2 linked regions of the Astyanax mexicanus genome follow. The protein of the gene in region 2 purifies or fractionates together with the protein of the main gene of each other region. This does not show direct contact. Links are inferred from orthologs where the notes say so. Each region holds a gene or a part of one and is shown on either strand. Other genes may lie near its edges.

The links. The genes of interacting proteins can lie anywhere in the genome.
Region 1: the proteins of cldnd1b (region 2) and golga7 purify together in Homo sapiens (affinity purification with mass spectrometry; 3 studies listed by BioGRID and IntAct, counting the BioPlex papers as one, with this or other methods). This does not show direct contact. The link is inferred for Astyanax mexicanus from reciprocal best matches to the Homo sapiens genes CLDND1 and GOLGA7.

The regions. Positions count from the first base shown.
Region 1 is NC_064427.1:21,744,346-21,754,930, reverse strand, and holds the start of golga7 (golgin subfamily A member 7), read right to left. Parts: upstream 4,190-10,585; 5' UTR 4,166-4,189; coding exon 4,082-4,165; intron 2,664-4,081; coding exon 2,538-2,663; intron 2,054-2,537; coding exon 1,901-2,053; intron 1,220-1,900; coding exon 1,118-1,219; intron 597-1,117; coding exon 552-596; 3' UTR 540-551; intron 1-539. UniProt on the Homo sapiens protein: May be involved in protein transport from Golgi to cell surface. The ZDHHC9-GOLGA7 complex is a palmitoyltransferase specific for HRAS and NRAS.
Region 2 is NC_064432.1:22,638,968-22,650,449, reverse strand, and holds the start of cldnd1b (claudin domain-containing protein 1b), read left to right. Parts: upstream 1-6,403; 5' UTR 6,404-6,483; intron 6,484-7,686; 5' UTR 7,687-7,931; coding exon 7,932-8,226; intron 8,227-8,420; coding exon 8,421-8,528; intron 8,529-9,408; coding exon 9,409-9,546; intron 9,547-10,187; coding exon 10,188-10,408; 3' UTR 10,409-11,482. Other genes in the region: glb1 (beta-galactosidase), read left to right, coding at 365-439, 539-628, 1,673-1,786, 2,098-2,229, 3,062-3,316, 3,627-3,881. UniProt on the Homo sapiens protein: Plays a role in negatively regulating the permeability of cells to small molecules.

The DNA of each region.
Region 1 (10,585 bases), on a different chromosome or scaffold from region 2:
AGGGGATGTTTTAGGGTTACATGGTCCTTCCAATAAAGGTTTCAAGAGGCACACTCCAAACAAAGGACTATCACTGAGAATCAATAAAAAATATGGCAGCACAAGAAAACTGAGAAATTCAAATGTATTTATAAATTATGATAACCAGTATATAAATGTCTTTAATTAATGTGATAATATTTTTACCATATCACCCAGTAGCTCCATCAGTGCAAGATAATGTACAACAAGAGTGGTGGCTTTAATTGTAAATGTTCATATCAATATCAGAACTGTATTGTATCCACTGAAATTAAGAAATATATAGTGTCAGATTTTTGCCATATCATCCAGCACTATTTTATATTTACATGCAGAGAACTTTATACAGAGTCCAACTGTAAAGTAAATCTAAAATATGTTGCGTATGGACATTTTGAGCACATATTGAATCCGAGGTGAATCTGCTGCAGGACAATCCTGCACTCATAGTATAGAGAGACACACCCTGTCAAGAGAAGCAATATCAGGTAAATGTGTGTGCGTTTGTGTTTGTTTACCTTTGGTACGTTTTATCTTGATCCAATGCTTCTGTCCTCAAATATGGTTATCTCCACCTTAGGAGGGCGGGGTTAAGGTAAACTGTTTATAAAACAACTTATGTCTATATTAAACTGTTATTACATTATTATACATTTAAGTGCTCAGAATAATCCTAATAATGTTCATTTTAGTACACTAATGTGAAAAGTTTGAAAAATTATAAAACATGTAGATAAAAGCTGAAAACAACTATTAGATATTTTACAACAAACAAAGCTCTCAATTAAATGTATTAATATAAATCAATTAAATCAACACAATCACTTTTCTGCACAACACTGCAAACCATTTCCTATAACTTTATTTTCAGCACATCAGACTGTGTGAGATTAGAGCTGTAATGAGAGTGAGAGGTGAGCCTAAAGCCTGAGACATGAGCCTGAGACATGAGCCTGAGACATGAGCCTGAGACATGAGCCTGAGACATGAGCCTGAGACATGAGCCTGAGACATGAGCCTGAGACATGAGCCTGAGACATGAGCCTGAGACATGATTTGAAGCGTGAATCAGATTCTGCTGTTGGGTGAAGGATACGACGCGCAAGCCTCTCTCGATTGGGTCGGTGAGGAGGAGGCCAAGAGGGGCATAAACCTTCTCATTCTGCTCCTGGATGTACTTGGCGATCTTTTTTAGCACCTGGGAAAAAAACAAAAAAACAAAACAAAAGGGAGCAGAGTTCAGGTAATGGGAAACAAATCGCTGTAATAAAGTTTTCAGCAGTGTAATAATCCCAGAGTATTTATTACAGGGTTCAACGGTTAAAGAAAACAATATACAGTACCAGTGAAACGTTTGGACACACCTCTTTTCTCTCCTTCAGTGTGTTTTCTTTCTTTTTATGATTGTTTACATTATAATTTTAATATTGAAGACTATATTAAAGCTATACAGAAAAACATGCTGAATTATTCTGAAAACAAACGTTTTAAACAAACCAGAATATGTTAGAATTATACTTTAGATTCTTCTAAATAAGTAGCACATTTATCTTAAAGGACAGATCTGTACACTCTTGGTATTTTAACCTTAGTGTTTTTAATGAGTGAGAGTCACCTGGAAGAAAGAAGGAGTTTCTGGAGGTGCTAAACAATAGCTGCTGCTTTTCCTTCACGCTGTGAAGCTCCAGTTCATCCCAAATCACCATCTCAGTTCATCAGGTTTAGATCAGGGGATTGTGGAGGACTGTTTTTACTGTTTACTATGTAATTCCATATGTCTCCCCTAACTTATTTCATTAAAGAAAAAAACACTGAATAAGAAGATGTGTCCAAACTTTTGACTGGTACTGTAAAGTGTGAAAATACTACATAAACTCACTTTTTCGTAGTGGGTCTCCATGCAGAGGAAAATAGTGTAAGCGGTGAGACAGGCCAGACACCCCTCCAGATAGGACTTTCCCCCGAGCTTCTCGGCCTCGGCGTACAGGTTATTCAGGGTCTGCACCGTCTCCTCAAACTGCTGCTTCTCAATCTGATAAAATACAAACCAAAACACACAACATTAACACTTTTTATACGTTTAAAATGTATACTAAAAACTTCAATGAGAGTGATCTTTGTAAGACGTTAGATAAACAGAATACTAAATAAAATAACATTGCTGTTGCTGTGAATCAGCTGCTGGTGCACCTTCACAGTGTGAACGAGCAGATCAGTATCCTCTGCTGAGAATCATAGCTGCACCATTAAAATAGCAATCCAGAGCGCACCTGGCTTTTACAGGGAATGCCAAGTGAGACGCTCATTGGATTATTTTACCGTATGACCAAATTTCATGTCACACCCATAATTAATTAAGAGTCACCCAAGGTGTACTTTTCCCGTCGTTACAATAGCAAAGACACACTGACGCCCTAAATTAAGCTGCATGTTGCTCAGTTGACGGCTCAACTTTAGATAAAGCTAAAATAGTGCTTTAAATATTCTAATCAGCTGCTCTGATGAAATGATCTTACCCGGGTCTCAAGCTCACTGGGGAACTTGGTCTGGAACTTGCAGATGGTGCCAGATGTGTAGTCTCGCTGCACAAACACCTTGGAGGCGATGGCTGCTTGCTGCCGCAGGTCCTGCAGGCTGTGCGTCTGCCAGAGAGTAACGACCTCATATTTAATAAACTTTATACAACCAAATACTGAGATACTTTTAAAAGGTCTGCATTAATAAAGAACGAGTTTTGTCGAGCACCTCATACAATACACACAGTGGTATTTATATATCACTATATATCTCAGATGATTTACTAAATTAGACCATTATTTCAGATGGTCAGAGATATTTTGAAGACCAGGGGAGCTTAAACTTGTCATACCATTTGTCTAATAATTGTCTCTAATCTGTTCCTTTCTCATATCACTGCACACTAACACTTCTCTAAATCTTATAAACACAACCCACACTATTTGATAATATTATAAATCAAGAGGACGATTAAATAAACTTAAGGAACAAATGCTAAACTGAGAAAATTACACCTTGGTCATTAATTCTTAGAGTATTAAATATCTAATTATTATTTTCCACAGTTAACCTTTTGGGGCCCTGTATTCTAATCTGCTAAAACCAGAGTAGAAGTAAATTAAACAAAGTATAAACATATCAAGGCCTTACAAAACTTAATTATTATAAATTAGATTTTATTATTTTATTTATTATTAAATTAGAAACACAGTTTAATCCACAAAACCCTAACAACACTCTGTACTTTACTTTAACTCCTGTTAAAGTTCCTAAGTGGCACATACCGAACATTCTGAGATCATCAATACAGGACAGTGTGTAAAAGTGTGATCATGAGTGTTGGATTGCTGGTTCAGTGCTTTTAGATAAAACCATCTTATTTTATGATGTCTAGAACAAAATGATAAAATACAAAGTATTCAGCACCCTAGATTAATTTAGCTTTAGCAATAAAATATTTACAGTAACAAGCTCTTTATAACAATAAATATAATGAGCTGCTTGATTCAATCAAATTATTAAATTGTGGATTTTGTATCAATATTCAGAACTGTGTATAGACTCTTATGGGTTAATTGAAGTTAATTAAAGGGATTAATAAAGTCTGAAAGCTTGAGCTCATGTTTAGATATTAAAGCGGTTAGTTACAGTCTGAGATAAACAAACCCCAACATTATTAAACCAGCTAACGCTAGCTAAATAGCTAAACTACTTCCTTTAAACACATCCAGCTTTAATAACACATATAGCATCAGATACAGAAGGCGTACATGGTGAATATAAGCGTTTACATGGAGTAAAATGTAATAAAGTTACAAATTGATTTCTAATCTTCTTTCCGTAATAAACCAAAGAACGCTGTTATGCTAAGCCTGTTAGCCTGTGAGCTAACGACTGTTCTATAGCGATTTTCCAGCTAAATCCACGGCGGGTTCGGGTTCTATCGGTTCTGTTCGGTAGTTCTGAAGCTTTTTATGTGTAGTCCGTCGCTTATTTATTATAATAAACTCTGATTTTATTAATATTACTGATTTACACTCACCTCCGCCATGGCCGCTGCTCCGTCTCCGCCCCGATCCTCGGATCCGCCGCTAAAACCGTCCGGGTGCAACTTCGTGCTGTTCATTTCCGTTCCCCCAGAACAGCCCAGTTGATCCGAGGAGGACCCAGCCCAGCACTTTACCCAACACAGCACTTCATCCAGCCCAGCATTTTACCCAACCCAGCACTTTACCCAGCAGACTGCTTTACCCAACCCAGCACTTTACTCAACTCAGCACTTTACCCAACTTAGCACTTTACCCAACCCAGGACTTCAACCAGCCCAGCACTTTACCTAACCCACCAATTAAACCCAACTCAGAACTTTACCCAAACCACTGCTTTACCCATCCCACTTATTTGACTGATACTTTTCAGTCCTTCCAGTGACGATTGTGTGGGTTAAACTTAAACCAAGAATTTAATTGCATATAGACTCTGGATATTTACAGTATGATAATAGAATTCCTTTTTTTCTTGTGTTGATATTGGTATAAAACAACAATAGATTCCATGTGAATATGGTCTTTATTTATCTATACATTTCTGTAGGCTTATATAGGCCTCTGCCCACCGATGTAGGTGCCTCCACTCCTCAGTGAAGATGTTGTTGGTCTGTACTGAACTGTGTGTGAAAGTTGGGTAGGTAGAGTGTACTGAGACTCTCAGTCAGCATGTGGTCTTAATAACGCTGCAGCTGAATGTTGCTCATTAGCTTGAATGTTTCAGATGCTGGAAGGAGAACCATTTTTTCTCATATAACTGACCTTCTGAAATCAGGACCTCAGCCAGACTGCAGAATTTGTGTAACCTGCTGTGTTATTACCCACCTATAACCCTGTCTATCTTGATCAGGTTCTGCTCGGGTACCAGTTTCTGCTGGTAGCTGGATTCAGATGGTCTAAGATGATCTTTCATGGTCAAGGTTTTCCCCTTTTCCCCTGTTCTTTAATGCTCAGGACCCCACAGGATAGACCACAACAGAGCAGTTAATATCCATCCATCCATTTTCAGTTAATCAGCTGAAAGAGTTTGAAAGGAATCAGGAATCATTTGCTGTTATGAGCCAATCGGATTCTCTTCTTTATTGTGAGGTCACAATAAGGTACCCTGCATAGAACCACCCTGGCTCCTTTTCTTACTCATTAACCCTCAACAGAGCCCTGCCCACTAGATCAGTTGACTTCGTCTGAGGGAGGAATCTGTACCTATTGTGTGTTTTGTTACAGCTAAGCATAAACTAGCTTGTCAGCGCAAGCTAACACTAATGTGTGATAAACACTGAGCACAAACATGGGGCGTGGCCAGCAAAAGCTTATTTGCATAAAAGTGGCAGAGCCCTTAAACGGCTCATTCTGAAAGGGACTGAAACTGGTAAGAATAGAGCTGGTGAGAGAGTAATTTTGTGTAAAGAACTTCATGATCATATTTTGTATAGACTACTGTATTCTAACGTGTGTAAAAACTGATATAATATGTCTCTTTTATTATTTAACAGACAACATACAAAAGGGATATCTGCTCAATTCATAGTTATTCTTTGGAATGGCACATTTGTTGTTTATTTTTCATTAAAATGTCTCTATTAATCGTAATGGTATTAGTGGAGTGTGCTGTGATTTGAATGTGGAGCAGAGCATAAAACTTTAATTTAACTCAGATGTGTCGTTCTGCATTACAGCATGACATCATTTAGGGGAAGCTTTGCTGATTGGCTCATTTCCCTTAGTGCAGTAAACCATATGATATGATGGTGATGTACCAGCAAAGGGATTTTGTGTGTTTGGGATTGTAATATAATAAATACATCATTTCCATTTGATTTAAACATTGTGTTTAATAATGTTGGACATTGTTACGACCCCTGAGTTATAACCCGCTGGTGGTAACTACATGAACACCATATGGAGCCTCATAAACCTCACAGTTATCCTCTTATAAACTCAGCGGGACTCCAACAGAACCTACTGTTCGGGTTCTGTGAGCGACAGAGGCTCTATACTGTACGTTAAAACGTTCCTAAAACATTAGTAATAACATAAATATCCAGTACGAAGTTGAACTTTATTAACATTATTTCTCAATATGATATTCTACTACAATAACAATAATATTCAGTATGAAGTTCTTCTAAGAAAACAGTATGAAGTTTTACTATAATAACATTAATATCCAGTATGAAGTTATAAACCATAGAACCCCTAAACGTTTCTCAAGGAATATTTTTAACAACAAAACATGGAACTCGGGTTAACTGAGTGCAGTTTTGACACACACACACACACACACACTTTTGGCTTTTAGACTGTGCATAATTCAATATTTATACACAACAACTGAAAACTGAAACAGTATGTCTGAGCTACATAAAGTGATCAGATATAATCGTTACCATGTGGAAACAGAATGTGATAATAAAATGTAATCTGCACTCGCCTGAAAAAACACACTGCAGCACTCCTCACACACACCTCACACTATATAAAATCCTATAACAACATTAACAACATTAATATCCACTTCCAGAATTAAGTTCTACTCCACTAACATTCATATCTAGTATTAAATTATTATGACTTTATACTGTAATAGCATTAGTTTAGGAGCCTTCCTCTTATAGCATTAGTATCCAGTATGAAGTTACTATAAAGTTGGACTGTAAAAGCATTAGTTTAGAAGTCCTAAGATTATAACATTAATATCCAGTACAAAGTCCTACTCTAATAACATTAGTATCTAGTATGAAGTTCTACTCTAACAAGATTAATATCCAGTATGAAGTTCTGTTCTGATCAGTTATTATTGGATGTAAAATAACAGTGCAGAGTTAATATGATCTCTGATGGCTTTGTTCTGTTATGGTTCTGGTCCAGGAACAGTGGAACAGCGCAATCATTCAGAGATTAATCCCGCATGCTGCTCGCCAGCCCTCAGGATCACACATGCTCCGTAATAAATCCTCACTAATGAATGTTTGTTAGATGAGAGTGTGCTGGTGTGACAAACAGTACCGTAAATCTTTCCGAGATTTATTTCCGAACACTTTCTACAGTGCACACTGTAGATCAAATACAGCTACAGTTAATACTGTATATATTATATATTTATAATAGTACACTCACTGCTAATAAAATAATGCACAATATAACTGCAGAATTCTCTCAGATGCAAAGCAATCATAAACCTTCATCAACAACAGCTGACAGAACCACAAGAACAAGAGATTACAAGGGAAAACATACTTATAATGCTCTCTGTTGCACTGTAAACTCACAATTTCAATATACTGCACTAGATTTTTGAGTTTTGAGGCTCAAACTTAAACTTTTATTTTTTGAAAATAAAACCACTACCGGTTGTGCCAAGTAAAAATCTTGTGTTTAGGTATTACACACTTTTTATATGTGTTAAAACTTTAAATATTAAATCTCACCAAGTTAATAAAAAATGTTTACGTTTTTATGTACAGTATTTAATTTAACTTCTATTAAATGTGTATTGCAAGTTCTGCTCCTATTTTTAGTATCAACAAAAAATATATTCATTAAGAGTCTTAATGTTAGTTGAGTTGATTAATTTACTATAGCTTTCGGTGCAATTTAATATTAAAAATCACATTAAGGAGAATGACTGATGAATTTTTACAGTGTAACTGGAATAAAGGGATGGATGTTTATTAATTATTGTTTATTAATAAATTAAATGTAGCGGATAAAATTGAGCAGATAAAACATGAAATATCTTTAAATATAATATAAAAATATTTTTTATTAAGATTTTCTTGAACATACGTATATACTTTATTTACGTAGTAAATTATAATAAATTACAAGTAATATGTACTACATTTTTAAGTAAGAATTACATTTTTGCTATATCAATTGCTTTGCATAATAATTCTACTTTGAATGTGATGGTCAGGTAAATAAAATTTGTAGATGTAGTATTTAGTCTTTTCTTAGTCTTTTTTTAAATACTCATAGAAAATGAAATAAAGAAAAATATGCTATATAGAGAACAGTATAACTAGCATACAGCCAAACACTGAGTTACTGTAGCAGCTCAGAACATGATGTTAGCTTATACAGCCTACAACATACAATAGAATCCAGGCAGTTATAATCGTAATATATTATCTATTGTACACGTTTACCTAAGGTAGCCTCAGGGGGGAATTACTACACACTAACGGTGAGTGTCAGAAGTTAATTCAACTCAAAGATCTTTGTTTGACATGTACATGTAGTCACAAATGTTCACTTAACTCAAAAATGTTGAGTAATGTTTGACAACATACAATTTTTATACAATACATAAAACAGACCTAATTTATTTGATTCAGACAAATAGTGGTTTTAAAGTGCATTTCTCTCTCTCACCTCCACTGCTGAGGTGAACTCCCCCTGTCAGGATGTGGACGGGAGCTCTGGGAGTTTGGTTTTGGTTTGGCGAGCTTCAGCATTCATGCTGGAATTGTATTCAGGCTTTGTGTCGTTTCTGCCCCACAATCACACGAGCGAACTCGTAAATCTGCCTTTCTGGCAAATAGAGTTATAGAAATAAAGAATTCATGCTGAACGTTCCCGGGAGAGTTGAGGCACTGCATAGAGAAACATTCATTATATCTGAAACAAATGTGAAACTACGTTTACTCCACACCTTCAGACCTCCAGACCAGACTCCCAAAAACGATCTGTTCATTATCATACAGCTCAGAATAATCCCCAGCGCTCACTGCCATCATCTAAACCCAGCTAAAGTTCCCTACACAACCCCTCACTCAATATATAACACAATACATCAGTCACACAGCAGCTAATAAACTCTGCACTGTATTACTGAAATATAACCAACATATTAAAAAAACAAGGATCAGAAATGAGGCTGGGTATACAGTAAGACTCACATTAAACCTGATTTTAATTATAAAACAAAAAATATTTTCTCTGTACAACAAATTAGCCCAATATGTTTAATTTAGCCTGCTTTTTGATTCATGTTAATTAGTACTACACTTTTCTTACAATTCCTGTAGTTTTCACAGCATATAATTAAGCCCTTAACATGCCTTGGTCTGTATATCGTCACTGTCTAATGAAAAACAAGTATCTCCAAACCAGCAACTTTACAGGAGAGAGAGAAAAAAAACCTTCTAAACTTTCAATGAAAGTCCATATACATTTTTTTATTTCAGGTCATTTTGAAGTATTTTTATTTGTCTGTTCATCACAAACGTTTGGTACACTGTAAAGGACAGTTTGTGTGTTCAAACTATGTAGTGAACTAAAAATAGTCAAAATAGAGATGCTTGTTTTTCATTGGATAGAGCTGATATGGGCTACAGGTGAAGGTGATACAAAACCCTCTCTGCAGTAAAATAAGTAATTTACACTCTGAAAACTGAAAAAGGTATTTAAGGAGATTCTTCTACTGAACACTTGGAGAAGCTGCCTGTTCATTCTCTGTTAAATTAATAATTCAGAATCAGATCCATTTTAAAAGGGAATCAACCCCAAAGTATACCTGTTTGATAATAGCCTTTACCAGTTTGTTTGTATTCACTAAAATACTGATTTTAAAGTGAAGTTCAGGAAAGCATACATTTTTTGATTTGTATGTGTTATATTTTGACAGTTGCAGATTGAACTCAAATGTGTCATGTGTTTCCTATTACAGCTATAATTAAAGCTTCTTATGTAATGCTTGAACAGAAAACCTCAAGATTTAGGCTTGTAACATCAGGGTGAAAATTGACAAAAGTGTCTGACAGTTAGGGGGTTAATAAATGTTATCAAATGCTAAAAATTATACATTCTGTGAAATCTGTGAAAATTTAATTTTGCAGTGATAACTTTTAAAGTAGTACAATATTTGCTGTGATACAAATGCAGCAGCCTAGTAGAGTGATAATAATATCAGTAATATACTGTGATTATTAATAAACTAATAATAATAAGTAAGCATTGCATACAATAGGTATGTAAAGAATGCATACTGTAAGATGTATTGCTGACAGTATGCTACTGTAAGTGCTATTGAAATCAAGTGTTGTTAAAACTGTAGCAGTTTATTTAACAGTATAAGGACTGGTTTTCTATATTTTCAGGTTTATTGTTATTATTTTTATACCTAATGTTCTCCCCACTTTAGCTTGAGTCCTGGCTTCTAATATTATTGAATTAAGTTTTGGAACTGCATTGTGAACAGTGAATCACTATTGGATATTGGAAATTATTATTATTGGAAAGTTCATGATTGGCCCTAATCCTGGTCTAGGAAACCGGCCCATAGAATGTTGAATTAACTGTTACAAAACAGAACTAACTGTTACAGTGCTGAATTTACTGCTACAGTTAAATAACTAACAGTTAATTTCCAGTTAATAACTGTTACAGACTCCAACAGTGCTGAATTATCATACAGTAAATGGTGTTTTTATACAATAACCACTGTTTGTACTGTAGGTATTCACATTACATTTCCAGCTTTGAGAATTTATTAGAGA
Region 2 (11,482 bases):
AAACAACACTAGAACTTAGGAACATGTTTAATAGTGAAAGTAAGAGCTTTTCCACACAAACAATGTGAAGATAACTCAAAAGATTGGGACTAAACAGCTGTGTAGCCTCATCAGTGAGAAAAACCCACAAAGACAGCTTTAATTTGCTAGGGATCTTAAAGATTTGACTCTGGAGTAATAGAAGAAGATCATGTGAAGGTCTGATGAGTCCAGATTTACTCTGTTACAGAGTGATGGAGCATCAGGGTAAGAAGAGAGGAGGCTAAAGTGATGCACAATCATGCCTGATGCCTACTGTACAAGCCAATAAAGTGTGTGTATATCAGTAAATGACAATGTGTGCTGTGATCTGTGCTTTAAACAGTACAGGAAAATACCAGATGGAATGGTGCCACCATCTACACCTAAATATGCATACGGACAAGTCCCCATGAAAAAGGTAAATATTCACATTTACTCCATACCATGGTGTTAACTTCTGTTTAAAGGGGATTTTAAAACTAAAATCCCTATATAATTTATGTGTGTGTGTTTACAGTTGAGGACAGTGGCGGAGTCTCTGGATATCCTGTCTTTTTCTGGACCAGTTAAAAGCACTTATCCACTCACCTTCACAGACATGAAGCAGGTAAAACACATTCACATTTACACACACTTCAGTGTGAATTGTATGTGGGCCACCTTTAAATATGGAGTAGATGGGGTGGATATAGAACAGAGTCAAGTCAAAGAAACACCTTCATGTATGAACAGTTCTGTACTTGGTTAAACAGTTTCAAATAAACAGGTAAATGTTCATGGTATAATAGAACCTTTTAACCTTTTTTATGATTAAGTATTTTTTATTATTATTTTTTTATTCTTAGTAGTATTGTTTCAGGTGTTTTAGTTGATTTAAATTAGTTGCTTATAATCATACTTTAGATAAGACCTGATTATTTTTATTATTTTATTTTTTGCATTTTTGCATATTTTATGTTGGCTTATTATTCTTTATTTAAGTGTATTTTATTGTTTCAATTACTTTCAACTTTTTTTCTTTTTTTTATTAATCTTAAGTGTTTTCCTTTTATGACCATTTACTTGTATATAGCACTAAAAAGCACAAAAAAAAACATAAAAGTTATAACTATTAAAAGACATTATACATTATTTACTTTAGTTTTTTTATATTATTCAATTATTTTATTACTCTTATTATCATTATTTCAGCTATTTTAGTTCATTTAGTCTTATTTAAATTTTCTTATTTGATTTTATTTTATTTTTATTTTATTATTTTGTTTGGCTGTTTAAAGCTTTACTTTGACTTGTTTATGGGTAATTTAATTATTATTATTTTTAACGATTTGATTTATTTCCCTTTGGATTTTCTGTTTATTTTATTGTTTCTTTTACTAATTAAATCATATTTTGATCATTTTGTACCCTATTAATCTTCTATAACCTTGTTATGTGTTTATTATATCATATCAATAATATATTTTCTATATTTATTCCTTTCAGTCCTGTTTGTTGTAAATGATTGACTTTATAAAAATAAGACTCAATCCTATTAAAATAAAAATAATGGTTGAATGATTGGTTGATGGATCTTTATATATATTAATATATATATAAGTCATAAATATAAAAACAGTATCAGTTATGTTCTGAACCTTTTTTTTTTCAGGCTTTTGGCTTCATGCAGTATCAGACCGTCCTTCCAGTGGACTGTATAAACCCCACCCCTCTGTCCTCCCCCCTGAACGGAGTGCGTGACCGGGCCTATGTCTCTGTGGACGGGGTACGCTGCTTTATTACTGAATCATCTCTTTCACCGTTACTCTTCTCGTTTATTTATTAGCGCTGATGTAATAACAGCACTGAGACCTGCTGTGACCTGCTGAGAGAGGTATGATGTGTTTATGAACGGCTGTAAAGGGTTACATAAGGGTTATATAAGGAGGAAGGAGGTTCTGTAGAGCAGAATTGCTCTTTAATCCCCTTTAAATAAATGAAGAGATATAGATGGAACAGCGCTGGATTAGAGATGTGTACTGTGCTGATGTTACTGCTGATTATTGGGGTTATATCAGATTGTGTCCTCTCGCTCAGGTCGTCGCTGGGATCCTGGAGAGGGACAAGGCCATCACCATTAATATAACTGGTAAAGCTGGCAGCAGACTGGACATACTGGTGGAGAACTTGGGAAGGGTCAACTTCGGGAAAGACATCAACGACTTTAAGGTGAGTTTAAGCTTCAGTGCTGGGAGAAAAGCCTTACTATCGCCCCCTAGTGGGCTGGAGGAGTACTGCTACGAGGATGCCGGCTGTCAGTTCACTTATTTACACTAAAATACCCTTTACTAAACATAATTTAGTATAGAAAAATGACAAATATTTTTTGTTGTGACACATAAATACAGTATTGATAAACCACTATATTGCTTACACATTTAAATCACTGAATAAATAAAACAATTGTAACAATAAAACAATAATACCAAGATGACCAGATGAGGACATAGAATTCTCTGACATATTTAAATTAAAGCTCGATATTTCTGTACAAATATAATAATAAGGGAATAATTAAACTAATGATTTACTGAAGTACTAAAGAAATTAAACCACTGTGGAGCACTGTGGACATGAGAGAACTCACACACACACACACGCATTAAAGAAAACTATATAAAATGAAAAAAAAATGTTATTTAAAGTAAAGGTTAACATTATTTCTCTATATGTGTAATTATGTAATAAATAATTCAAAGTAAATATTGAAAAAACAATATTAAAAAAACAGTATTTTATGAACTTTAAACTAATATTATTTAACACAAAAGGCATATTATATTGATTTTGAGCCATTTACATTATGAAAATGCAACTAAAGATATATAAATATGTCAAAATCGTTGAGAAATGTAAATTAAAGTGTAATAGTACATTTAAGATAGATAAGATATTCACATTGTTGAGATATATGTAAAAAAGATTGTTATTGGACACCTTTTTTAATAAATATTTGTAATGACGTTAACGTGTCTCTCTCTCTCTCTCTCTCTGTGTACAGGGGCTGGTGTATAACCTGACTCTGGGAGCGAGTGTACTGGCCAACTGGACGGTGTACAGTCTGAGTATAGACGAGGCAGTGAAGGGTGGTCTCCTATTGGATACTGTCTCTCTCCGCCCCCCTAAAACCACCACCCCCAAAACTCCACCCACTAAACTCTCACCTCCAGCCTTCTACGCCGGATCCTTCAGCATTCCCGACGACATCCCTGATCTCCCCCAGGACACCTACATCCAGTTCCCAGACTGGAGAAAGGCAAGATATTTAATCTTTAATCTTTTTTTTCTAGAAAAAGACACAAACACAGAGAAGTCTTTTCTTTAGAGAAATTAAAGATGTAGCCAGAGAGTCTAAAAAAAACTCTTAAAACTGGAGAAAACTGCTACAGGAAGGCGTCTGGCTGACCCACATGGAAACGCTTAGCTTTAGCTCAGCTTAAAACTGGACTAAGTCTCAGTCACTAATAAGAAGTAAAATAAAATAAAAAAGCAGCTTTTTACCCATAGTGTATATGTAAACATTGTGATGTAATTTTAACTGTTTGTTTATTGCTGCACTATTACAGGGTCAGGTGTGGATTAACGGGTTTAACCTGGGCCGGTACTGGCCCTCCCGCGGCCCCCAGATCACCCTGTTCGTCCCGGGGTATCTGCTCAGCACCAGCGCTCCCAACAACATCACCGTCCTGGAGCTGGAGGCGTCGCCCTGCTCCTCAGGACCCTGCGCGGTGGAGTTCACCAACACTCCCAACATCAACGCCACCACCAGATTCACCACGCCCTTCATCAGAGATCCACTGAACCTACAGGGGCTTTTATAACACTCTCAATCATTCTTAATGAGAAATGACTGTACAATTCTAATAATCCACTCCGCCAGCTGAGCCGTGTGATTTAGGAGCGTGAGATTCTGCTGTCTGCACAGTTTACTGCTCTGAAAGTCTGATTCAGGATCAGACGCTGGGTTCGGACATCACTGCATGATAATATAGAGCTTAAAAGCTGACACAAGTATTTTAATCTGTATTTTAATCTGTATTTTAATGATGTTTTATGGAAAGAAAATTATGAATTAGAATTTTTACAACCTTTTTTTGTATTAAAATCTGCTGTTAAAAAAATACATGCTGAAATAATTTACAGTTTATAGATTTAAAAAAACTAATATCCATAAACTGAAACATTTGATTCAAGACAAGAAATATGCATTTAGGCCAATGGTGAAAAAAAAGAGTAGAAAAGTTTGAATCTAAACATTTATGAAACTGATTTTTGGAAATATCTTCTTTTTTCACAAGTTTCTCACACGTTTGAAAAAAAAAAAAAATTTGAATTATGCCATTAAATATTTAAGTCTATTAAATTTAATTAAAGTAAACAAAATGTAGATTCAGATGCTAATGTCAGCTTTTGAGCTCCATATGATTAATATATATATACATATACTGGAATACAGTATATTTGAACAGGAATGCAAAACGGTGCCTTTAATGAAGAATTTTATCACAATGTAACATTTTTTAATGTCCATCTCATTTACACTGAAATCACGTGTTAAGCTACCTCACTGAGATTATGTGTTTTTATCTGGGTAACGAATGATGAAATGATGAAAGTTTACACAAAGGGAACTCCTGCTTATCTCTGATTTTTTTACAGGATGAATGACTCACTGCTTATGTTCACAGAGCCTTTAAATAAATCAAAGCGGAATTCAGAGAGGCTCTCTATACCTGGTAAAGCCTTTGTATCCTTCGGTAGATTGTTCTACACTGACATGCCAAAAGTCATGGCACAATTCTACACAGATGCCACTAGTCACAGTCTTTCTCCACATTGCTATTTGCAGTGTTCAGCCTCACTCACAGGATACAACCTCAACACTTATACACTTATACAGTTTTGTGCATCCCCAAGCTGTCCACTGAGGTCAAATTTTATCATCAGTATGCAATGCTATCAGTACTATTGTCCCATGACATGTGGCATGTCAGTGTTTTATTTAAACACTGCTGTAATGGCTACAGAAACCGGTGGAGTCTTTTGTTAAACAAGGTGTGTTTTTATAAAAGCTTGACTTTGGGATGAACTGGAATTGAGATTTTTTTGCACTCCTCTGCTGAGAAACATGTGCAATAATGTGCTGTTTTATATGCCAGATGTTCAAATCTGCCTTTTATGTTCTATTGCATCTGATTAAAACTGTGTTTTATTTTATAGCAACAAATTAAAGAATTCATTTCAGGCCTGAAGTTTCCTTTTACTACAGCGTCTAAGTAACAAAGTTTGATAATAATAATAATAATAATAATAATAATAATAATAATAATCTACAGTACTGTAACTAGTGGGATATTTCTCAGCCCAGAATAACCAAAAAAAGGGACAAATATTACTTCAGTTATAAGTCCTGCTGTGTGAAATACAGGGTTCTATATTTACGTTTTAAGATTAAGTCATGTTTGGTCCTAAAACTAAATCCATTTTAGAATAAACTATTTATTTTAAATAAACATCTTACAGTGCCTATTGGAATTGGTTTCTCATACTTTAAATTACATCTTAATTCGAATTTTCCAATTTTTTTGTAGCAACAAAAATAAAGTAATTTATATAGACTAATTTGTATAGATACTTTTTCATTTCATTTCTTGTATTTCACTTAAGGAAAAGTGTAAAATAATCATAAAATTCACAGAAGCATAAGCCTATCTACTTAGATTCACTCTGCAGCTTCTGTATGTAAAGAGCTATAATCTTGATTATCCCATTTAAAAATATCATTAAAACAGTAATTCCTTTAGTCAAATTAGTTCCATTAACCTCCCAGCCCTACCTGGAATTCAGGCTTTCAGTTAACAGCTGTGCTGAACTCGTCAAGAGTTCATTACTTTATTTTTTTTTTGCCTCTTAATGTGTTTGAGAGCATCAGTTTTAATCCATATTATGATGACAACTACTCAACTCAATTGAAGATTTTATAAAAAAAAAAAAATGAAAGTAAAATTTAAGAAAAACGCTTATTTTAAGTTACTACATGGTTCAGTTTGTGTTCCTTTATAGTTCTGGATTACTTTAGTATTAATTTACAATGTAGGGAAAAAGAAAACAATAAAGACATTGAAGGAGAAGGTGTGTCCACACTTTTGTCTTGGTATTGTATGTGAATTGTTTCAGTTTATTACATTGTAGTGAATTATATTAATTAAAACATACTTTTCTTAAAAAAAAGTTTAAAAAGTTTAAAAATAACTACGATAAAAGTTATGTGTGTGTAATTCTCTTGCATAGAGGCTTTGTTTGATTGTAAAGAGAAAGAAATATTTAATATTAAGATCAGGTCTGATTGCTGTGGGCTGATGACGTAATAAAGGCGGGTCCACCCCAACCGGAACAGCCAGCTACAGACACTGGACTGAAACGGTGAGTACAGCTACATTACCTACATTTAACCTGTAATAATTAAACTTACACTGTAATAATGAACTAAACCCGCTTAGATAATATGTAGACAACCTGTTTAAACAGAACAATGGCGGGTAAACCCCAGAACGGGCACGGAATTAAGTGAATTTTGGGTCTAAACCCGGTATTTGAGCCAGCGCTAGCTGCAGTGTGTGTGCTGGTGTTTGGGTTAGCGGCGCTGGCTAACATCTGCTCTAACATCTGATTTACCCCCGATAAACCACTCTCTGCGCTTTATTTAACTCAGTAAGCCTTTTCCCTCGACATTTAAGCGATTAATAATCTGTATAATACTGTAATACTGCTGTTTTAGCTCAAAATAAAGCCAGAGTTTAGCTAAATATAGTGAAAGTGCAGGGCAGAGGCAGGGGTTAGCCTAGCCTAGCCGCAGGGGAACAGTCTGGGTTCACTGTTATTACACTTTTATTACACTGTTATTACACAATTATACAGCTGTAAGAACGGTTATTTAGTTATTCAGTACTGCTGACTGTTCAGTAACCTTAATATACATATTTTATGTGGTGGTTTAATGACTACATTTAAAGGAAAAGCTTAAAACTGCTCTATGTATATATACAGCTCTGAAACAAAACAAAACACACTTAAAATTATGAGTTTCTTTGATTTTACCAAATTGAAAAGAAATGCTTGGATTTTTTTGCACCAGGAGTGGCACTAAGTTATCCAAAAGCAGTGTGCAAGGCTGGTGGAGGAGAACATGCCAATGTGCATGAAAACTGTGATTAAAAACCAGAGTTATTTCACCAAATATTGATTTCTGAACTCTTAAAACTGTATGAATATAAACATATTTTCTTTGCATTATTTGAGGTCTGAAAGCTCTGCATCTTTTTGTTATTTCAGCCATTTCTCATTGTCTGCAAATAAATGCTCTAAATGACAATATAGTTTATATAGTTTATAGTTTATATAGTCCCCAAATCCCAAATCTAACACACCCCATTCATCCGATTAAGCTCTTTTCCTCTTGGCAGTAATTAGATGAATCGGGTGGGATTGATTAGTGTTTGGAGCTAAAGCTTGTGGTTAATCCCTGCTTTAAGCTATGTAGTGCTTTGTACTGTTAGTTTGCATTGCAAATGAAACATCATACTGCAGGCTCATACTAACTGTACTTTGCTTGTTTCTGTATTTCAGCTAAGGCGTGCTTCCCTGTGAAAAAATAAGACCTGCATTAACCTCAACCAGGCTGTGAAGTACCAGTTTCATCCACATATCTTGAATATGATGTAATGATAGTAGCCTTCATGGACAAACTGGGTTGTAATGATGAAGATTCCCCACCTTGATTCTTCAAAAACCTGTTCTTGACAGTGACTGACTGTGTTCCATTACAGTACAGAGGACTTATAGACTTATTAGATACGTTTTTTTATGTAAAAATGGTTGATAATCGTTATGCCACAGCGCTGGTGATCGGCTCAGTCCTGAGCCTGCTGGCTAGCGTGTATCTGTCCGTGGCAGTGGGCACTCGGCACTGGTACCAGTACCGAAGCATGCCGGCCAGCAACGATGTGAAAAACGGCTCAGACCTGCACGCGCTAAAGGGCGCTTTTATAGAGGAAGACGTGAGCGAAAAGACCTACAGTGAAGCTCTGTTCCGCCTCAACGGCACCATAGGGCTGTGGTGGCGCTGCATTCTGGTGCCTGAGGAAACACAGTGGTACAGACATCCTGGTAAGATGATGGTCTTTAAAATATTATTTGGAAGTTATGTAAGCAATGGTTCTTTGCCTATTTAAAGGGTTCTTGTCATATTTGGTTCTGAAAAGCACCAAATAGGGTTCTGTTAAGAACCACAATGTAATGTCTTATTGCAAAACTACTGCCTAATTCTATTTTTTTGGTGCTTCCTTTCTTTCTTTCATCAGAACCGAAGATGGTGACAGACTGTCAGGCCTTCACTTTGCCCCAGCAGTTTGAAACCAAGTACAAACTCCCTGGAAATTCTAGTAGTGAAGAAGATCTACTTCGGACCTGTAAGTGTAGGCCTCAAGAGTGTTGTTACATTATTATCTGTCTTTCTGTTCTTGGAAGACACACAACAAGTATTAAGGAAAATGACTAATAGTGTTTTTGCACCTTTCACCTGGAAGTGAGGTGTTTTCGGGTAAGTTTCTGGCGTATTATTGTCTTGGCAGCAGAGAACACATGTGCACAACTGACTGATTTGAACCCTGACAATTGCCAGACATTAAATTCTATCTTGGCAACGCAGGTATGCTGTGCACCTTTAAAATAACAATCTGAGAGCCAGAATCAGAGAGCACCTGGCTCTTAAATGGCATAGCAAGTGAAACTTTGATTGGTTTACTTATGTTACGCACCAAAAACATACCCATGATTAATTAAGAGACTTAGTAGTAAATGTCTTTGGCTTGTTTCAAGCCAAGCAAGGTGTACTTTTCCCGCCGTTATAATAGAAAAGACACCGACACTGTGTGAGTTTAGTAATTTCACTTGTGGACCAAACCAACCACACCAAGACATTTGAGAGAAGGTGGTGTCATTCGGGTTCTAAATGAACGTGATCTGATTTTGATCTGTCTCAGCTTTTGAGTTTAACCTGCTATATTGTCCTGATAATTACAACAGCTATAAACAAATGCTATATCTGCTCTTTCATCATGTAAAAAGAGGAGCAACCTAAATGTTCACACAGTATGCCTTGACAGTTTTTTGAGCTTGTTTTGTAAAGACAAAACAAACCAAAGCAAGGGGATAAGTCTCCAAGTTTACAAACTCATTATAACAGTATTTTAGTGTCCACTGTAACAACATTGTGTTTGCTGAATATTACTGTATTATTGTGTTATTAATAATAAGAAATATTAATTTTCCCTTCTCTGCTGTTCTCAGATCTGTGGAGGTGCCGATTCCTGTTCCCACTGGTGTCTCTCGGGCTGGTGTTTTTGGGAGCACTGATCGGAGTGTGTGCTTGCCTCTGCCGCAGCATCACACCAACCCTGTTTGTTGGTTTTCTCCATCTGCTGGCTGGTAAGATGACCTAGATGGCACACATACACACACACACTTCAGTAGTACATACAGAACTGGAGCAAAACTCTGGTTAGCTTGCATTAGATATATTGTATCTTATGATATTGTATCACAGTTTTTTTAAGGTTAGTCAGCTATTATTTCTGCCATGATGTCCATCTTCAAAACGACATAGAAACAGCTGAATGTGGGATATATATGCACTTTAAATGCCCAGATGAGATCTGATATTTAGTGAGAAAATATGTAATCTGTTTTGTCTGTCTTCAAGCTGATTGTGAACTGAGGAAGTGAGCAACCCTTACCTCTTCCCCATTGTGTTTTTTTTCCAAGGCACTTTTTGTACTAAGTTACAAATTAACGACAAGTTGACACATTTTTACAATCGTAATCATTGCAGCCCTAGTAAACACTGGCACAGAAATGTACAATAGAGCCTTATTAACTTGTTGCTGTGGAAAACTTCATTCAAAATAAGCTTTTTGCCAGTTTCAATTTTAAATGTACTTAGTGACAGATGTGACAGATCTTTATAAAATCCTGAATAACTGAGTGGGTTAACTTGGTTTATTCCAGTTCATCCATCGTTTGTTGTTGTTGATTGACCCTAAGCAAGTCCTCTACTCTCCTCTCTTCAGGTATTTGCTCTCTGGCCACAGTGTGCTGTTTCCTGGCTGGGATAGACCTGCTGCACAGAGCATCCGAGTCAGCTGATTGGATGAACTACTCTTTGGGCTGGTCCCTCTACCTAGCCCTGGTCTCCTCCCCGCTCCAGATGATGGCTGCTGCTCTCTTTATTTGGGCCGCCAGGAGCCATCGCAAGAACTACACTCGCATGACTGCCTACCGGGTGGCCTAGTTAATGGTGGACCACCCACACGGACAGCTCGCTGGACCACTGGGACTGTGTATAGTGTTGCCTGGGCAGCAAATTGTTATGAAAAGCCCAATTGCCTTCGCCTAGGCAAATGTTTGACCACTAAACTGAAGGACTGTAAATCTTAAATCTCGTACGACAGCCTGAAGAACACTTCACCAACATGGTGCAATCATCTGGTCCGTGTAAAGGTGTACACACACACACACATTTGATCCTAAGTGCTAAACTCCACAAAAAAAGAGGCTGTTCTGGCCTTGTCTCTTCTCTTCATTACTGCCTTGTTTACCACTCTGTTAGATCCATGTATAGATATAGGCATAGATAGACATCTACTTAGAAGACTACTTAGATTAACTTTTATGTTTAGAAACCTACATGTTTAGTAACATACAAAGCAGCTGCCGAAACGTTTGGTAGAATAGGTTTTCTTGTGTGATGTTTGACATTACAGAACCTGTGTTATCTTTTTACTTGCTTAAGATGCACCTTATTCTAATGATTCAGGAGTAGAATTATTTATAGAAGCTTCATCTTCTAATACCAATAAACAACAGTATATACAAGTATATAAAAGAGTTAGCAAACATCACATAGTAGGAGTATGTTATTTTTCAGGATAGATTTGTTACAGGACTTAAATCAAAATCCAAATTTTACTTCCTGCCTATATCTGATCCAATAATTTCTGCATTAAAAAAAATAGGACATTATGGGTGAAGAAAGCTCTGTTTCTTCACTTCATCTGACCCAGGGTATCAAACCTATGACCTTGTGTAGAATAAGCCAGCTTCGCAAGAGGCAGAGAGTAAAGGCCCTTGTTTAAAGGTAGTACCTGCTGGTTCATTGCTTTGAACCACCAACCACCACCTTCCATGCTTCAGGGCCTCCAGAGAATCCCGAACCCACAACCATGTGATCATTGCTCACCCAGCACTCTAAGTACTGGCCCACTATTACTCCCTATATATTATGAAATGAGAATTGTTTTCACTAAAACTTTACTTCAAAAGTAATTCAGTTCAGATAGCCAGGTTTTTTAACACATTAAAACTA